Danio rerio: one gene and its partners. The main gene of each other region encodes a partner of the protein of the gene in region 3 in a complex. Links are inferred from orthologs where the notes say so. Each region holds a gene or a part of one and is shown on either strand. Other genes may lie near its edges.

What was found.
Region 1: the proteins of f2 (region 3) and si:ch211-132p1.2 are in contact, whole or in part, in a crystal structure (PDB 2PV9), measured with the Mus musculus proteins. The link is inferred for Danio rerio from reciprocal best matches to the Homo sapiens genes F2 and F2RL3. Residues at the interface, in NP_034298.1 of Mus musculus: Glu385, Leu386, Leu387, Cys388, His403, Tyr407, Trp410, Asp411, Arg428, Arg453, Glu454, Asn455, Leu456, Trp501, Gly502, Asn503, Trp508, Thr510, Gln516, Arg538, Ile539, Asp559, Ala560, Cys561, Glu562, Gly563, Asp564, Val585, Ser586, Trp587; in NP_032001.2 of Mus musculus: Asp54, Lys55, Pro56, Asn57, Pro58, Arg59, Gly60, Tyr61, Pro62, Gly63, Lys64, Cys66, Asn68, Asp69, Ser70.
Region 2: the proteins of f2 (region 3) and f2r are in contact, whole or in part, in a crystal structure (PDB 3LU9), measured with the Homo sapiens proteins. The link is inferred for Danio rerio from reciprocal best matches to the Homo sapiens genes F2 and F2R. Residues at the interface, in NP_000497.1 of Homo sapiens: Phe382, Arg383, Pro386, Gln387, Glu388, Leu389, Leu390, Cys391, His406, Cys407, Tyr410, Trp413, Lys415, Leu423, Arg425, Arg431, Thr432, Arg433, Tyr434, Ile441, Met443, Glu457, Asn458, Leu459, Asn506, Thr510, Lys517, Gly518, Gln519, Arg541; in NP_001983.2 of Homo sapiens: Ala33, Thr34, Asn35, Thr37, Leu38, Asp39, Pro40, Arg41, Ser42, Phe43, Leu44, Leu45, Arg46, Asn47, Pro48, Asp50, Lys51, Tyr52, Glu53, Pro54, Phe55, Trp56.
Region 4: the proteins of f2 (region 3) and proteinase-activated receptor 3 are in contact, whole or in part, in a crystal structure (PDB 2PUX), measured with the Mus musculus proteins. The link is inferred for Danio rerio from reciprocal best matches to the Homo sapiens genes F2 and F2RL2. Residues at the interface, in NP_034298.1 of Mus musculus: Phe379, Gln384, Glu385, Leu386, Leu420, Arg422, Arg428, Thr429, Arg430, Tyr431, Arg433, Lys437, Ile438, Ser439, Met440, Lys467, Pro470; in NP_034300.3 of Mus musculus: Thr46, Phe47, Glu48, Glu49, Phe50, Pro51, Asp54, Ile55, Glu56.
Region 5: the proteins of f2 (region 3) and fgg are in contact, whole or in part, in a crystal structure (PDB 2HWL), measured with the Homo sapiens proteins. The link is inferred for Danio rerio from reciprocal best matches to the Homo sapiens genes F2 and FGG. Residues at the interface, in NP_000497.1 of Homo sapiens: His450, Pro451, Arg452, Arg461, Arg486, Ala489, Ala490, Leu493, Ile530, Val531, Glu532, Arg533, Cys536, Asp546, Asn547, Met548, Phe549, Cys550, His605, Phe607, Arg608, Leu609, Lys610, Lys611, Trp612, Lys615; in NP_068656.2 of Homo sapiens: Pro439, Ala440, Glu441, Thr442, Glu443, Tyr444, Asp445, Ser446, Leu447, Tyr448.

Annotation. Positions count from the first base shown.
Region 1 is NC_133189.1:41,481,902-41,485,962, forward strand, and holds the start of si:ch211-132p1.2 (proteinase-activated receptor 4), read left to right. Parts: upstream 1-1,258; 5' UTR 1,259-1,376; coding exon 1,377-1,479; intron 1,480-4,061. UniProt on the Homo sapiens protein: Receptor for activated thrombin or trypsin coupled to G proteins that stimulate phosphoinositide hydrolysis. May play a role in platelets activation.
Region 2 is NC_133180.1:47,155,568-47,159,281, forward strand, and holds f2r (proteinase-activated receptor 1 precursor), read left to right. Parts: upstream 1-1,385; coding exon 1,386-1,455; intron 1,456-2,034; coding exon 2,035-3,206; downstream 3,207-3,714. UniProt on the Homo sapiens protein: High affinity receptor that binds the activated thrombin, leading to calcium release from intracellular stores.
Region 3 is NC_133182.1:38,969,744-38,972,944, forward strand, and holds part of f2 (prothrombin), read left to right. Parts: intron 1-1,863; coding exon 1,864-1,971; intron 1,972-2,056; coding exon 2,057-2,183; intron 2,184-2,741; coding exon 2,742-2,909; intron 2,910-3,035; coding exon 3,036-3,201. UniProt on the Homo sapiens protein: Thrombin, which cleaves bonds after Arg and Lys, converts fibrinogen to fibrin and activates factors V, VII, VIII, XIII, and, in complex with thrombomodulin, protein C. Functions in blood homeostasis, inflammation and wound healing.
Region 4 is NC_133196.1:7,110,709-7,114,938, reverse strand, and holds the start of proteinase-activated receptor 3, read left to right. Parts: upstream 1-1,418; 5' UTR 1,419-1,463; coding exon 1,464-1,542; intron 1,543-4,230. UniProt on the Homo sapiens protein: Receptor for activated thrombin coupled to G proteins that stimulate phosphoinositide hydrolysis.
Region 5 is NC_133176.1:27,275,076-27,279,217, reverse strand, and holds the start of fgg (fibrinogen gamma chain precursor), read left to right. Parts: upstream 1-1,339; 5' UTR 1,340-1,375; coding exon 1,376-1,435; intron 1,436-1,518; coding exon 1,519-1,572; intron 1,573-2,089; coding exon 2,090-2,273; intron 2,274-4,136; coding exon 4,137-4,142. UniProt on the Homo sapiens protein: Together with fibrinogen alpha (FGA) and fibrinogen beta (FGB), polymerizes to form an insoluble fibrin matrix. Has a major function in hemostasis as one of the primary components of blood clots.

The DNA of each region.
Region 1 (4,061 bases), on a different chromosome or scaffold from region 3:
CACTTTTACCAGGCTAGCTACGGGCCTGCAACCTGTGAAAGAATGCAGGTCTGCTGTGACATGCAGTCCAGATGTAATAAACACGACGTGCTCGAACACGACACAAAAGAAAACTGAAACTGTGTTTAACTGTAAACAAGGCTATTGTTTCCAAAAAGAAAAAAAAGAAAAAAATTGAATAATTCCTCAAGATCTCTACGGAGCGCAATTAAACTACAGTATATTAAACTAAAATAAACTATAGGCTAGATGGTGTGCTTTTACATTTATTTTATTTATTTATTTATTTTTACAGATTTTAAATATAGCATAATATCTCAACAATGAAGACGTTCATGTTGCAGGTGTGCAACAATGTCACCATCTAGTGCTCATCATCTACAGCTACATTATGTTTTAGTTTTTTTTCCCACGAATGGCATCAAGTATTGAAAACTTTAATATTTACAAAAGCTAGCCACTTTTCAATAAAATCACGACGACAATCACATAAATACAGCATTTAAAGAATATGTAACCTACAAATGTTTTCTTTATCAATTAAGATGGAAGCCTTCATTTAAAAACAAAAATATAGGTTTAATTGTAGAATTGTAAAATTTAAATATATAAATAGTTCAAATCATTTATAGGCTAGCATATCAGTTGATTATTACGTGAAATACAAGTTTTGACAACTATGTAACGTAGTATTTTGTAATGTTATGAAAACATTTTTTAATTATTGCTATCATTAAGTGAAAAACAAAACATTTAAATGAATATTTTGATAGAACAAAATGTCATTATTTTTCCCTTCTCTTTTTAAAAAGGGAACTAGACAAATGTGCTTGTTGGAAAAAGTAGTACTTCTTTTGACAAGCATCCACATTTTTCCATAGATCTTTCGTTTCCTCCCCTGATCCTATCTCCTCCTGTTTGCTACAGAGGTGGTTTTGAGCTGAACATTTGAGTGTTCTACTGCGTTTCATTGTTTAATAAATTCCTTAATACAGAAATACAGGCTAATTATTAATTAAATCAATTAAACATCAATTACTCATCTCTAGTCCACAAACGTATTAATAATGTTGACCGTTTATTGTACCATTGGACAATCTGTCTCCATATGAATGAGAGAAGGAAAAATGCAAACATTGTAGCAGATGCTCACATCTGTTTTATGTCCTCGTACTTATAGAGGAAAAGCCAAAAGACAACTCGTTGATTGGTATAAACCCAAAAGGAGGCGTGACTAGAATGCATACCCGACAGAAAAAGTATATTAGAGGTAAATAGAGTGGAGTGAACAGCTACTTTTACACTCAGAAAATCTTTTCATTTCACGTCGCTAGGGAAGTGCTTTAAATCATTTCAACAATACTTAAACGACCAGTATGGAATTTGTTGTCAGTTCTCGAGTGCCTTTTCTGTATCTCCTCTTCATCTTTCTTCACGTCTCTTCAGCTGTAGATGCAAACATCTCGATCATCGTTCCAAGTAAGTCTTATCTTAACTTTGTGGTAAAAATCTTTGATAGTCTACTTGTCACGATAACGTTGTAAAACAAAGGTTATATGAGTAAGTATAGCAAATTTGGAAAGAAAGGTGGGGGTGGCAGAGTTGTAACATGCACAGACAGGACATGACATTCATTGTAACACATATTGATTCTATCTTACCACTGCTAAGCAAAGCACAGAAGTGAAAAACAGTGACAAAAAGTGACACCATTTAGTCACCCAAATGTTATTTCAAATCTGACTTTAATTTTCCAGAATAATTGCTTTAAATTAGTTTTGTTTGAGTGATCCTGCATTGTGGTTGAATAAGAAATATATCTAAAAAAATTTTAATAATAATAGATATCTCATTTCCTCACTGATCCTATCTCTTCCTGTTTGCTACAGAGATGAGGTTAAGAGTTAGATATTTGACAAAAAATAAAATAAATAAAATAATAATAATAATATACATATACATACATACACACACACACACACACACACACACACACACACACACACACACACACACACACACACACACACACATATATATATGTAATCCCCCCCCCCCCCCCTTCAATTTATTTATTTATTTTATTTCAGGAGAGTCTTATTTGTTTATTTCGACTAGAATAAAAGCATTTTTTAATTTAAAAAAAAAATATTTTATGGACAAAATTATTAGCCCCTTTAAGCAATATTGTTTTCCTATTGTCAACAGAACAAATCATCATTGTACAATGACTTGCCTAATTACCCAGATTAACCTAGTTAAGCCTTTAAATTGCACTTTAAGCTGAATACTAGTGTCTTGACAATTATCTAGTAAAATATTATGTACATGGTCATCACAGCAAAGATAAAACAAATCAGTTTTTAGAAACTAGTTATTAAAACTATTATGTTTATAAATTTGATGAAAATAAATATTCTTTCCGTTAAACAGAAATTGGAGAAAAATCTACAGGGGGCTAATAATTCTGACTTCAACTGTATATATACACAGTAGTCAACATATGTAGTAAATCAAGAAGGATAATCAAAGTTGTCCTAAGACGATATACAGTATTGTTCAAAATTCATGCCCAATATGTAGTTCTGTTTTTAATCAACATTGTTATCTACAGAATTTCATACTTCATCACTTTTGATCGCACACAGACAAGATTGTTTGTCACAAGATGTAAAATTGCTTGTCACATTTCATGAATACGAGTTTGCAGCTTCCCAATGGTTCTGTTAAGGTCAGAATCCTGTAGTCTAACTAAATTTGGCATTATATTCGCGTTCTGACCTTAAGCAAAGCTTTCAGAACCTTGAATAATGATCTCTTCCCCATTACAGACACATGTGACAGGTCAGTTGTTACCTAATGATAAATGATTATGTCTGGTGTTGACAAAAAACCAATTAACAATGACATTTCTTATTATGATGTGGATATTAATTCATTTGAATTATTTTTACAATTGATATTGTCTGCAATGTGTACAATACTGTAAAGTTTTTTTTTCTCTCTCTCTGTTGTAATAATATTTAGGTTTAATTGTTCGTAAATTTGTTTCGATAGCAAGGGATGTTATGAAAAAAAAATACAACCCTGAGTGTACAAAGTGTTTTTTAATTGACTAGTAACAGACTGACATTTTTTGCATGAATTTTGAAAGAAGCACATTTTTGGTTTTATGAAAACTTTGATTAAAATTTTAATTCACATCAAATGTTGACTATGCCAAATTGTTATTTTAATACTTATACAGCTTATTATTGGTGTGGTGTCTTTAAAAGAACAAATTTGCATCTTATTTTACTCATAAAAGTAAAAGTTCAGTACAGCGTTTTATGTGGTTGATAAAGTAGAAAGTTGTTTTAAAATCACTTTTATTGTACTGTATTGTCCGACATAAGCTTATACTGTTATTAGGATTTTAACATAGTTATTTCAAGATTTCTGTCCTGTTATTGATCTTTTATAAAGAGTTTTAAATATTTGAAGAAATATGTAACCTTATGTAACAGACAAATAAATCTACAAATCTGACTCAGTTACACCAATTCTGTCAGGAGAAATGAGTCAAAATTCCTCCAAACTATAGTGAGAAACTTGTGGAAGGATACCCAAAACATTTGACCAAAGTTATACAGTTTCAAAGCAAAGCTAAAAAATACCAAGGAAATGTGTGTAAACTTTTGACTGTCTAGAAATTAATAAAAATTCCCAAAAAAAAAGTTCTCTCATTATCCTGGCATTTAGCAAATGTAGATAATTTAGGTAATCCTAATAATTTAGGTTATTAGGATTTTAACATAGTTATTTCAAGATTTCTGTTCTGTTATTGATCTTTTATAAAGAGTTTTAAATATTTGAAGAAATATGTAACCTTATGTAACAGACAAATAAACAGTGACATACTGAAAGTGAAAACTCTACAAATAGTAATAATAAATGTTTACAAAGTGATGTCTTATACTTTCAAAATCGTGATCACTATATACACACACACACACACACACACACACACACACACACACACACACATATATATATATATATATATATATATATATATATAT
Region 2 (3,714 bases), on a different chromosome or scaffold from region 3:
TGATACCGCATGCCGATTGAAAAGGAAAAATCTCTGCATTTCGCGTTGCAGGTGTCAGTGGTCCTTCACTGACTCAGTAGGTGCAGTGTCAAACAGTCTGGAATATCCTGTGGCAAAACGCTGTGAAAAGTCCAACATGATGGTAATAGTTTGATTGCGGTGTTTACATGTCTGTGCTGCACTTCAATAATGCCACTAAAATCGGCATACTTCACATGTCTCAATTCGAGTTCTGTTTAGTTTGATTATGACCTTAATCAGATTAATCAAAAATCTGTTTACATGGTTGACTCTTAATCAGAGTATTGTCTTTATCGTATTAAAATCGGATTATTGTTGTCCATGTAAACATACTCACTGTTTACCTTATTATGTAAGTTTAATGGTCAAAGGATTGATCGCATATGCCTATTGATAGCACGTTTGCAAGGAACTGTTTTACTCCCATGTGAAAGTATTTTGTAGTAGGAAGAATTTCAAAATACAGTATTTTATTTTGATATTTGTTGTAGCTGCTGTATTTTGTAGTTTATTTTGATACATGGGAAATTAAGCTATTTGGTATTTTAATTTAAAATACATTTCAATGTATTTTTGTCCATACACTCACTTTCTTCCGATAATACAATTTGCAAGCATGCAAACTCCATACTGAACAAACGCTTTGGCTTTGAGAGATGAGTGAATTTGATTTGCCTCAGATTTGCATTCAGGGAATTAACAGATGAATGAAAGTCTACACTGTTAAACAATAATAATAAACAAAACAAATCATTGGTGCTCCTAAAGGGCAAATACTAGAAACTCTGTTTCACCAAACATAGTTACTTCATAAGAATAACTTTATGACACCTTTGGGTTTTCTGTTTTTTACAAACAATATCTTAAATAAACATGTTTGTACCCTGTTAAATAGTACTAGTAGTATAACTTCTATTACCCAAACAAAAATTTTATAAATGCTAAAAAGCAAAAAGGCTAATAAATGTGTTAAAATAATAACAATAATAGTAATAGTAGTAAAATATTTCTAAGGTGCAAATAAAAATAAACTTATCATTGTGGAATTCAAATAAAATCTAGTAAGAAAAAAATATTAGACACTTTTTATATTGATTAAAACACAGTATACAGTGAAAAACCCCACCATTAAAACTATAAATGTTCTTCTGATATCAAGCATGAACTAGTCCCTGCTGTGTTGCTGGGTTTCACATGTGTGTTGCTCGAGTAGGCGTCAACATTTGCGCCACAGAAAAACAGAATTCTCCACCTCTAGTAGTTCTTGGTGTCTGCTGTTGAGCGCGGGTTCAAGATCATTCTGGAAAGGAGTTTTCTGTTCTCACCCTCTCTTCATCAATTTGCGCTGCGGTGTTTGAGTCGTGATGTTGCGGGTTCTGTTGGTGACGGGTCTGCTGGCTCTGAACGGCTCTGCGTCTGCGCTGCCGAACAACGGTAAGACGCTTACAGACTTTCTTTTATCAGAATAAAATATGTGAGCTCAGTTCATTAAAATAGGCCTGTAGAACACAGTGGCATGTAGCATACACGATGAATCGCATAAAACGTAATGCAATAATAACGAAATCCCTTAAAGTTTAACTTGAAAAGTGAAGTAGCCTATTTTGGTATGAAATATTGGTATTAGATATAGGCTACGTTTAAAAAGATAAATGAATAGCAATGCTTGTACTACTATATTAACAATATAATAATTACATATATAAAAACAATATAATAAAAACAAAATAATAATTGTTTTAATGAATAGCTAAAACGCTGCTAATTGTAAATTCTAAACATGGAAATAAATAGGCTATGGAATTCAGCAAATTAATTTTTTTTTTCTCTGCAACAGGAATTCTAGCTAACATGACAAAGAGATATAATAAAACATGAACAGAAAGAAAATAGCCTAACAAAAAAGTATAAAATTATTTGATGCATGAATTAAGTTAAAATAACTTTTAATGTTACAATGATTAAATGCTGCAAAAAATGAATGTAAACACGTTTTTTCTTTTTTTTTTTCAGAAACATTTATTCGCTCATTTTCGGGATTTTTCCTCACCGTCACTGATGAGCCGTTTGATTATCTGGACGTGCAGGAGGGGGGAAGCGGCTTTAGTTCGGGTCAAGAACCAACACTCAGGAAAGAGCACCTCCACCCCCCGGCTAAAAAGACTTATCACATCTCTCAAGAGGCCTCGAGCTTCCTCACAGGCCGCGTGGCGACCGCTGTCATCCCGACTATATACATAATAGTGTTCATCATCAGCGCGCCTCTCAACCTGCTGGCGCTGGTCATGTTCGCGCGCAAAGTCAGACCCAAGAAACCGGCGGCGATTTACATGATGAATCTAGCCTGCGCAGACCTTCTGTTTGTTCTGCTGCTTCCTTTTAGGATAGCCTACAACTACAACGGAAACAACTGGATATACGGAGCCGGGATGTGCCGTGTTGTCACTGCTGCTTTTTACTGCAACATGTACTGTTCTGTGCTGCTGATTATGTGCATTAGTGTGGATCGCTTTCTGGCTGTCGTCTACCCGATGGACTCGCTCACTTGGCGAAGTCCCCAAACCGCGACTGTCACCTGCGCCGCCATGTGGCTTCTGTCTGTTGGCGGAGTGACACCTTTGCTCATTTCCAATCAGACCATTCACCTACCTGACCTGGGCATAACCACCTGCCACGACGTCCTTGACATCCAGCTTCTCCGCGAGTATTACCTGTACTTCTTTCCAATCTTCTGTTCGCTTTTCTTCTTCATCCCGCTCATTTTTAGCACCGTCTGCTACCTGCGCATCATCCAAGCCTTGTGCGCGGCAAACGTGGAAAACCGCGCGAAGAAAACGCGGGCTGTTATTATGGCCGTAACAGTTTTTGCAGTTTTTGTCATATGCTTTACACCAACAAACATCATCTTACTGTCACATTATGTGAGGTTTGCTTACAAGCACAATGACGCGTCCTATGCCGCTTACCTGGTCTCCATGTGTATGGGGAGCATCAGCTGCTGTCTGGACCCCCTCATCTATTATTTTGGTTCTTCTCAGTGCCAAAAACAAGTTCTTGCTTTTCTCAGATGTCAGGGGGTCCCTGGTATTGAAAGGAGCGCACAGTTCACCTCCAGCACAAGGTCAAGTAATCTGGAGACTTTGAAAAGCAGTGTGAACAGCCAGTACATAAAGCTGATGGCATGAACAGTCTAAACCTTGACTATATGGCTGGTTGGATATGTCTGGATTTTTGGAAGGGTCTTGAAAACTTTTAAGCTGGCCAGGATGAGAGACCTTGTCAAGCCATGATGCAACAGATTTCCAAGAACATTCTGTCTGTAACAGGGTTTTTCTTTCATTTTATTTAGGATAACTCGATGGGTGGAGTTGCCTGCACTTATTCAAAGGAATCTTATATAGAGGGTTGCATGATAACATCAGAACCTGCAAGAACAATTCAACACGACTTTTCTTTTGATTTTACCAATTAACTGAGAGTAAAACAAAATTTCTGGCAAACACAACTTTACAATCTTTTATGTTTTGTTGTACAAACAGTCTCATGGGAATGGGGTACAGTACATGCACACAGACTTTTCATTTCAGTCAGCCACCCCTAGAGCTTCTGGTTAATTGTCATCCCAAACAAAATTGCAGTGTTTACGTTATCTGATTTCTTAAAAAAAAAAATAACAGCGATCTTAACTGCCTG
Region 3 (3,201 bases):
TTAGTTCACCCCAGAATGAAGATTCCCTTAAAATACCATTATCATTTCTCAATTCCTTTCTTTAGAACACTAAAGGAAGGAATTTAATTTTTTTTTTTAGAAGTTGAATATTTTTTAATCATATCTGATAGGGCAAGCAGACTTTACATTTAATCTTTACAACATACTAGTATTTATTTTCTATATCTATTTTAGAAGCTAGTATCTTTTTTATCTTGAAATCATTGTCATGTTCAAGAAACCAGTCGGAGATGATTCACGTTTTATGACATGCCGTGTCATCCTGCTGGAAGTAGCCATTAGAAGATGGCCACACAGTGGTCATAAAGGGATGGACATGGTCAGCAACAATACCCTGGTAGGCTGTGGCTTTGCTCCATTGGTACTAATGGGCCCAGAGCATGAGAAGAATTTATTCCCCACATCATTACACCTCCACCACCACCACCAGCCTAACCCATTGATACAAGGCAGGATGGATCCATGCTTTCATATTGTTGATACCAAATTCTGACCCTACCATCCGAATGTTGCAGCAGAAATCGAGGCTAATCAGACCAGGCAACATTTTTTCCAATCTTCTATTGTCCAATTTTGGTTAGCTTGTGCTAATTGTAGCCTCAGTTTCCTGTTCTTAGCTGACAGGAGTGGCACTCGGTGTAGTGTTCTGCTGTTGTATCCCATCTGGCTCAAGGTTAGATGTGTTGTGCATTCAGAGATGCTCTTATGCTTACCTCGGTTGTAACAAGTAGTTATTTGAGTTACTGTTGTCTTTCTGTCAGCTCTTCTGGCCATTCTCCTCTGACCTCTGGCTTCAACAAGGCATTTGCGCCCACAGAACTGTCGCTCACTGGATATTTTTTTTTACCTTTCTCTGTAAACCCTAGAGATGGTTGTGCATGAAAATCCCAGTAGATCAGCAGTTTCTGAAATACTCAGATCAGCCCGTTTGGCAACAACAACCATGCCATGTTCAAAGTCATTTTGATGCTCGGTTTTAACTGCAGCAGATCGTCTTGACCATGTCTCCATGCCATAATGCATTGAGTTGCTGCCATGTGATTGGCTGATTAGAAATTTGCATTAATGAGCAGTTGGACAGTTGTAAAGTGGCCGGTGAGTGTATATAACAAATATGTACTAGTCACAACTGTATTAAATAATAACTCATAAATAGCCTATAAAAAATTCACCAGCAAATATCTAGTTGTCACTATTGAAACTGAAGTAATAAAATGCAATGAATTGATATTAGTGTCAAATGAATCACTAGTATCTGTTTAATTGGTAGTACCCGGTGAATAAATGCCAGTATCTTATAATAAGAAGTTGCAATTAATAACCATAAGAACAAGGTACCTAAAAATAAAAAAATAAACATTAGTAGCCTATTAATAATTGTTATTAAATAATAGAAAAGATCATCATAGTAGCTGAAGTGCTAGTAAAACTACTAGTGATGTGAAAATAAATAGTATGATTAGACTAAGACCAAATGTTAAAATGTTATGCCATACATCTAAGAGATTTCTGTCCCACAAGAACCAATCTGGTATGGTTGAGTTTCTGTTAATATATAATGTAAAGATTTTCTAACCAAACCTTGCATTAAACTCATGTGGATTTGTTTTTTAATCTCTTTATAAATGTTTTTAAGTATCAAAGTTTGGGGTGAATGAAGCAGGGCAAACATTTCTAAGATTTTATTAATATATATATTATGTTCAGAGTGATCATCAGTTTGAAATGAAATAAGGGTGAATAAAATATTATGGTAAAAAATTTACAAATCCTTAAACAAAACTTCATAAATCACACAGCACACACAGCATACATAATCCTGCCTTTGTCATTCACTCTCAGATGCTCCTTTGGACAAGTTTGTGGAGGAAGGTGGTGGACGAGAAAGAACAACTCTAGACCAAAGGAAAGCTTTCTTTAACCCCCGCAGCTTTGGAAACGGAGAGCTAGGTTAGAATCTAATACATTCACTAAAGGTCTGAGCTCTTGTACGATCCACTAATAATTAATATGATGCTCCCGCGTTGTTCTACAGACTGTGGAGAGCGCCCCTTGTTTGAGAAGATCAACAAAGCAGACAAGAATGAGAAGGAGCTTCTGATGTCCTATACTGGAAGCAGAATTGTGGGAGGAGACGAGGCTGAAGTGGCTAGCGCTCCATGGTAAAAACATGACAGGGCCTCTTTTTAAATGTTCAGATTTCTTGGCAACATCAGTCATGACAACAGCTAATGCCACATGTTTACCTTACCTTTAGACCAGGGGTGCTTGACACTGTTGCTGGAGATCTACCTTCCTGCAGAGTTCAGCTGCAACCTTGATCAAACACACCTGTCTTTAATTAACAAGTTCAGATCCTACTTAATTAGTTCAGGTGTGTTTGATCAGGGTTAGAGCTAAACTCTGCAGGAAGGTAGATTCCCAGGAACAGGGTTAAGCATGCCTGCTTTAGACATTAAGCAGGTGATTTTATAAAAAGTGACTTACAAAGAGGAGACATCAAGTGATTCATTGTAAAGAAACAATACTCACAGTGCTTCAAATACAAAGCTTCTCATTTTGATAGAGAAATACAAGCTATTATAGGTTTTTAACATTGCTTGTGTTTCAGAAATCTGTATGTGATTGGAGAGAGTTCCTTCAGTGAGGAACAGTAACTGTAAATGTTCTGGAAAGTGATAAAAAGCCTCTTTGCAATGGTTGTTTGATGTGATTTGCAGGCAGGTGATGCTGTATAAGCGTAGCCCTCAGGAGCTGCTGTGTGGAGCCAGTCTGATCAGTGATGAATGGATTCTCACCGCTGCCCACTGCATTCTCTACCCGCCGTGGAACAAGAACTTCACAATCAATGACATCATCGTCCGCCTTGGAAAACACTCTCGTACTAAGTGAGCCCTCCAAAAATTCCTTCATGGATTTCTTTTGCTTGTTCTAAAAGCTGAAATAAAAGTAAACAATAACCCTCAGTTAACAGAATGAGCTGCTGAACATTTTCCTGTTTCTCTCTTAATCAGGTATGAGAGAGGCATCGAGAAGATTGTGGCCATTGATGAAATCATTGTCCACCCTAAATACAACTGGAAAGAAAACCTAAACCGAGACATTGCTCTTCTCCACATGAAGAAGCCTGTCGTTTTTACGAGTGAGATCCACCCTGTCTGTCTGCCCACCAAGAGCATT
Region 4 (4,230 bases), on a different chromosome or scaffold from region 3:
CACAATAGTTTGAAGGAATTTGGGGCCATTTCTGACAGAATTGGTGTAACTGAGTCAGATTTGTTAGCTGTCTTGCTCACACAAGCTTTTTCAACTCTGCCCACAAATTTTCTATAGGATTGAGCTCAGGGCTTTGTGATGGCCACTCCAAAACATTAACTTTGTTGTCCTTAAAGCACATTTTAACAAATTTGGCAGTATGCTGTGATGGTCTGTTTGGAAGACCCATTTGTGGCCAGGTTTTAATTTCATGGCTGATGTCTTGAGATGTTGCTTCAGTATTTCTACATAATGTTCTTTCTTCATGATGGCATCTATGCTATATATATATATATATATATATATATATATATATATATATATATATATATATATATATATATATATATACACACACACACACACCTTCATTTACCATTAAAAACACATCAAAATTTAGGTAATAATTTAGTAATGAATTTCATTTTTTTGACTTGGTTAATTTAAACTCAGCAATTTTATTTTTAAAGCTAATTCGTTAAATTAAAGATTAGTTCACATTACTTAAAAAATAATAATACAAAATCTACTCAAAAATTATTGCTTCTTTTTTTGGAACAACATGTTTCTTTACTCGTTAGGTTAGAAAAGTAGCATTATTATGTAACTAATGTCATAGCAGTTAATTAATACTGCAATTCTACTCTCAATTAGAATGCAAATTAAATACATTGATGATTTAAAAAATAATACATAAATCGACTAGTGTAGTAGCTGCAATATAGAATACATAAATAAAATGAACTGAATTCTTAACAAACAAATAATATAAACAAACAAAACAAGAATAGTTTAGTAGACTATCAACTATGAACCATGAACTATAAAAAAAGTTTTCATTCATTTTCCTCCAGCTTAGTCCCTTTATTTATCAGGGGTCGCCACAGCGGAATGAACCACCAACTCTTCCATCATATTATGCTGCAGATGCCCTTTCAACTGCAACTCAGTACTGGGAAACATCCATCTGGCAATCACACACACATACACTACAAGACAATTTAGCTTATTCAATTCACCTATATGTGGTTGGTCTGTGGGGTAAACCAGAGCACCCAGAGGAAACCCACGCCAACACAGAAAGAACATGATGCAAACTCCTCAAAGAAACGCCAGCCGGGACTCGACCCAGCAACCTTCTTGCTGTGAGGTGAAAGTGCCAACCACAGTGCCAACCAGCCACCGTGTCGTCTATAAACTTATTTGTAACTTTGGCTTTTAAACTATCAGAAACACAAAAATAATCAAAGCAATTATGATGTCATAGTTTGACGGTGTTCCATTGGACATGAGAGGAAAAACAAGAAGATGTCATCGGTATGGAACGACACCGCTATTCTGACGACACACACAGAGAGAGGGGGAAACTCGAGGGCTTCATTTGCGTTCAACACACGGACCAGAAAGAGTTGAGACCGAACTGAATGTGTTTCTCAATCATGGGGAAAGCTTTCTTGATCGTTTTGGTCACTTTATTTCTTCTGAACACGACGCAGACGCAAGGTAAGCACATTAATACGTGATTCACTGCACAATAGTCCGCTGCATTGCAGTTTATTTTCCATGAGTTTCCTGTTATCAGCGGTTCAGTTTACTCATTTATTTCAACTATAGGCTTATTATTATTTTATAGACCAATTTAAAAACGCATAATAAACTCTAAAAGAAAGCACGTGGATAATTCCCTAGTTATGGTAACATTCTTGGTGGGAAAGTTGGTGGGAAAATTCTGCCATCCTCTGTTTGTTCCAAATATTTCTGAGTTTCTTTCTTCTTTCTAAGTAGATATTCTGAAGAAACGTGTAAACATGGCATCTTAGTTTTTTTTTTGTTTTTTCCTACAATGGAAGTCAAAGGTTACAGGATTTCAGCATTCTTCAAAGTATCTTCTTTTGTGTTCAGCAGAAGAAACTCAGTTGTTTGGAACCATTTGAAGGAGAGCAAATAGAGCAAATAAATTTATTTTGGATGAGCTATCCCTATAAAGATTGCATTCCTTATTAAAATATAAGCATGTATATTTAGTCGACTATACAATAAATAGTTTTATTTAATGTTTTGCTAATCTGTAAAATTATATAATGTTAATCATTTACCGACAAACTATTATTATCAGACACTTTTAACAACCTTTAAAAAGAGGAACAAAGCAGTTTTATTACACGGTCAGAAATAAAGGTGCAAAATCTGTCACTGTGGTGGTATACGTACTCAAAACTACGCGTTTGCACCGTACAGTAAGTAAATAAAGTTTTATTTATATAGCACTTTTTACAGACATTGTCACAAAGTTCTTTACAATAAGAGAAAACCAGAAATAAGGTAAAATAACACATGACAATAAATCAAAACATATTAAAAACAAGTTAAAAATCCAAGTACAGAAACACTAATACTGTTAATTAAAAGCTTGACCAAAACGATGTGTCTTTATGGTTCACTTTTGTATCTTTATGGTACTATAAGGAACACATTTGTACTTTTTAGGTATTAATATGCACCTGCAACGATCTGATACACTGTTAGACCTTACCGGGGTTTTTTACAGTAGAACACTGGCAACACTGTTGCCAGCCACTCACTGTAAAAGTTTGGTTACAGTAAGTAACTGGCAACAGTGTTGCCAGTTAATTACTGCAACTGAACCATTACAGTGAGTGGCTGGCAACAGTGTTGCCAGTTATTTACTGTAACTGAACCGATACAGGGAGTAGCTGGCAACAGTGTTGCCAGTTAATTACTGTAATAGAGCAGCAGTGGTAACTAACTGGAAACTGTGTACAGTTAATTACTGTATTGTAGTGTTACAAATCACAGCATTATACTGCATACACATTAATAGTTTGTCATATATAGTTATTGTAGTGTTACTAAAATTAATCAGTATTCTTAGCTGTTATTTAAAAATAGAAGGCATAAAATTTTTCAGACAAATATATTTTATTGTTTTGGCACGAAACAAATAAATAACAGAAAAAGTATAACAAAATTAAGAAATCAGCAGATATAAATATTGTCTTGCATATTACAGGTCTGCACAGTAAGGCTGCAGTCACACTAACATTTGAGCAAGCAAAATTCTGTCATACGGCACTGCGAAGTGGAATTAAACAAAGCGAGTAGTGGAATTAAACAAAATAATTAGAGATTGAAAAAGCAAGCCAGAGAGGTCATGTTTTGATCTTTGATTGGTATCAAGCAATCACATGATGTGATTTCGCATGTCAGCGTTCTCCAAGCTTGAACTTTCCAATGCTGCGAATTATGAAATTTGTCGCATGAGCTATCATTCCAGGTCTGCAGTACTCACATGCGTATGAATGGAAGTCTATAGGGAGAAAAGTGCAGTGTGACCGGGACTTTAAGCTGTAACTCTAATTAAACACACCTGATCAAACTAATTAAGGCTTGTTAGAAATCTACAGGTAATGTTGAAGCAGGGTGGGTACTAAACTCTGCTGCGATGCAGTTCTCCAGGAACTTGGAGTTTGACCCCCATGGTATACAGCAGTGGTGCTCAATCCTGTTCCTGGATATCTACCTTCCTGCAGATTTCAGTTGCTACCCATATCAAACACACCTGCCTGTAATTATCATGTGGTGTTCAGGTCCTAATTAATTGGTTTAGGTGTGTTTGAAATGAATAGCAACTAAAATCTGCAGGAAGGTAGATCAGCAAATGAACAGCAAAAAACACAACATAATTATTTTAAAGTTTAAAGTTTTAAATAATTAAAAACTGTGTTAAATCTCAATAAAAAGTTTAAAGTGATTATAACAAATAAAGTTTGCAACACCGAAAAACCAAAGGATCCAATCTTTTATTGTTATAATTATCTCATGACAACAAACTTTATTATTGTTTCTAATATAAATTCATAGGTGGAAACACTGCTCTGAAAAATACTTAGCAACAAACTCACAACCTGGGACCGGACAGTGGAGCTTTTGTGTGTGGATGGCTATGTGTATCATGTTTTTGTGATTTCCTGTGACGATGTGCACAAGTTACCTTACTGAGATGAAGGAATTTAATTTTGGCTTAGTTGCCAGAAAGATACATGCAACTGTTAGCATCTGTACATTATGGCAGTATGCAATATCCAATAAATACTTAAACAAAAGTAATGTAAGAAGTTATATGAGGACAGGCTAACTAGCTAACAATGTAGCTTTCAAGTACACAGTTCA
Region 5 (4,142 bases), on a different chromosome or scaffold from region 3:
GCTGCACAAGATTTTTGATATGCAACATCCCCTAGTGGTTCATTCGGTTAAGACATGTTCATAGTCCAGATCAGCTTTGGTACTGATGTTTGTAGCCTTAAAAACAATTGAGCAACCATATTAATATTTAAAGTGACTAAAAAGTCATAGTATTCAGTCTTTAAAAACTCAAACAAAGTCGAACAGCACTTTATTAAAACCTCTAGAACTTTAGAACTCTTAATTCTACTTTTCCTCCTCATTTATTCCCACTCAAGTGATTCTAAATTTATGTATTTATTGCTTCTTGCTGATTTTTCCCAACATTCTTTGGTGTATATTCCTTTGTGTCCAACAAAAGAAAGAAACTAGCTATTTAATGTTTAACGTGTTTGATCTTGAAATTAAATTTAATGTTAATCTAATTTATTTTGCTTCTTTTTTTCTCTAATAGCTTTATATTATTTGCTTTGCTTATTACCATGAAAAAGAAGGAAATTTATTTATTTATTTATTTATTTATTTATTTATTTATTTATTTATTTATTTATTTATTTACTAACTATTGATACTTTGCTTTGGTCATTACCAGTACATTTGAAAAAAAAATGCATTTTTGTTCTTACTGGTGAGTCAGTATGTCAGCAAAAGTGTATGTTTGTCTGTGTGTGGGTACATGTTGTTAAAGTATTTGTGGAACATTTAATCTTCCAACACTAGAAAAGAAAAATTGACAAATCATTAACTTAAAACTGACTGGATAGTGACCCACAAGTTCTGTAGCAATGGCTCATTGCTGCGTCAAGGCAAATAATCAGTTTGTTTGATTGTTTATGTGTTTTAGGCCAATGCATAAGTACATTTACAAATACTGACATGCAGTGATTTAAATCCTTTAAAATCAAGGGATACAGTAGTGGGAAACCAATGATTAGTTAGTCTCAAAGTAAATTTTGTGAAAAACAGTTAATAAAATAGTATGTTTCAAAGAAAGCAAAATGAATGTTATTTTATGAGAACATATTCTTGTTTTCACAATTATTAGTTAAACTGTTAAAAAAGGTTTCTAATGCAACTTTACTCTACAATCTCCAAACTTTGTTTTTGATGGAAAAAAAAATCAAACCTGTAAATAAATAAATCATTTTAAATGTCTTAAATGTCCTGATCCACTAGCACTATGTACTAACATGATGGACACGTTGACCAACGTATATATGCATCATTTACGGTTAGTTTGGAGTCACACAGTGAGTAATAGAGGGGTGGTTTTAGCTCTTGTTTGAAGAGTGAACCGTTATCTCCATCTCCAAAGAGGACCTTGATCGGATAAATATCCTGCAACAGTCAACAGAAACTCACAATCTCAAGGGTATACCACACAGACAGGTCCGACATGGGCTCGATCATGCATGTGGTTGCTTCCATTGTGCTGCTGTGCACATTAACATCAGCGGTGAGTGACAGTTATTATATTTTATTATAAAACATTATAATGTCTTTGTTACTCATTTTCTTTTCTCCCTTATTTATTTTAAGCAAAGAGGAGACTACTCACCATCACATGATTTGTGCAACCCTAATGATGGGTTTGTAAGTACAAATTCTTTATGTTTTGGATTTTTTTAACTAATAAACTCTGTAACACTTTAATTAATATCAAAAGGATATTCAAATGGACCATCAAAATAATGTCCTTACTTATTAATGCCATTAAAGTATTAGTAGACTGTCTGCCTAAAGGGATAGTTCACCCAAAAATAACAAATTATGTCACATTTTGCTCTCCCTCTACTTGGTCCAAATATGTTTGACTTTTTTTCTTCTGTTTCTACTGTTTTTTCAATTTCTGTTATGACTTTCTATTGTGATGATCTCCCTATAGACATTCTACTGACTATAAGTAACGATATAATTAGTTTGCAAGCACAGGTCAACCAATTAAAATAAGTATTTACCAGTCTCCCATTACTGTACTAATCATATGAGAATTAGAAATGTAGATGCATTGATATAACGTTATAATCAACAAAATGAGTTGAAGGGACGCTGATTTTTGTACGATTTTATTTTGATAGTAAGATTGACACTTGGTTCCTCTCTTTTTCAGGGAACATACTGTCCAACAACATGTGGAGTCGCTGATTACTTGCAGAGGTACAAGCCTGATATGGACAAAAAGCTGGATGATATGGAACAGGATTTGGAAGAGATCGCCAACCTCACCAGAGGAGCTCAAGACAAAGTGGTCTACCTGAAAGATTCAGAAGCACAAGCACAAAAACAATCACCAGGTAGCACAATTTATCATTAATTATGATATTATTTAAGCCCTGAATGTCATAAAAATTGCCATATGGTGTAAGCATCAGGCAGAGGTAATTGCATTTGTCTAAAGCCTTAAACAAATATTTATACAAATGAATATGTATGTGTATATTTGCACACATATGCGCAAACACATTCCTTGATTCATTTTCCTTTGGCTCAGTCCCTGATTTATCAGAAGTCACCACATATATACAGTATACACTTACCGGCCACTTTATTAGGTACACATTACTAGTCCCACGTTGGACCCCCTTTTGCCTTATTCCTTCATGGCATAGGTTCAACAAGGTTCTGAAAATAAGGTACTGGAAACAAGGTACTGCAAATATGGAAATATACTGGAAATATTGCTCAGAGATTTTGTTCCATATTGACATGATAACATCATGCAGATTTGTCAGTTGCACATTCATGATGCGAATCTCCTGTTCCACCACATCCCAAAGGTGCTCTATTGGAATGAGATCTAGTGACTGTAGAGTCCATTTGAACTCCTTGTCATGTTCAAGAAACCAGACTGAGATGATTTGCGCTTTATGACAACGCGTTATACTGCTGGAAGTAACCATCAGAAGATGGGTACACTGTGGTCACACCATTACACCACCATCAGCAGCCTGAATCGTTGATATAAGGCAGGATGGATCCATGTTTTCATGTGGTTGATGCCAAATCCTGAGTTTACCATCTAAATGTTGCAGCAGAAATCGAAACTCATCAGATCAGGCAACATATTTCCAATATTCTATTGTCCAATTTAGTGAACCTGTGTGAATTGTAGCCTCAGTTTCCTGTTCTTAGCTGACAGGAGTGGCACCCGTTGTTGTCTGCTGCTGTAGCCCATCCACCTCAAGGTTGAAGGTGCTGCCTCTATGTGTTTGTGTATCTTTGTGCTTATTTATTATCAGCAGGTATCTTTATTAATTTATTTTTATTTTTCACTTTATTTATTTTCATTCTTTTCATAAATTTTTTTTGGCTTAGTCCCTTTATTAATCTGGTGCCGCCACAGCGGAATGAACCGCATCCTTACCCAGCATATGCAACCCATCTCTGGGAAACATCCATACACACTTATTCACACTCATACACTACGGACAATTTAGCTTACTCAATTCACCTGTACCACATGACTTTGCACTGTGGGGGAAACCAGAGCAACTGGAGGAAACCAACGCGAATGCAGAGAAAACATGCAAACTCCACACAGAAACACCAACTGACTTAGCCGAGTCTTGAACCAGCGACCTTCTTGCTGTGAGGCGACAGCACTTACTGTGACACCGCTTCACCTTTATTTATTTTTATTATTTAATTTTTATTTACTCATAAATAAAATGGGGTTAGTTGGACAACATGCCATTTTTCTGAAAATTACTTGGAATTTTGTTTCTCACTCACTATCCTTCGGCTTAGTCCCTGTTTTATCAGGGCTTGCCACAGTAGAATGAACTGCCAATTACTCTGGCATATATTTTATGTGGCGGACGCCTTTCCAGCCGCAACCCAGCAGCAAGAGTACACTAACCCATGAATCCCTAGTGCTGGGAAACACCCATACATTAATTTATACACACTATAGCCAATTTAGTTTGTCCAATTGAGCTATACCACAAATGTTTGGACTGTTGGGGAAACTGGAGCACCCAGAGGAAACCCATGCAAACATGCAAACTCCACACAGAAATCCTAGCTGGTCTAACAGGGACTCACTAGTGCTTACCACTGAGCCACCGTGCCACCCCACAAAATCATTTTATCGTTTACCAAATTTGTTATTTTTCAGTACCTGTAAACCTTAATTTTCTTTACTATCTTTTTGTCAGATACTT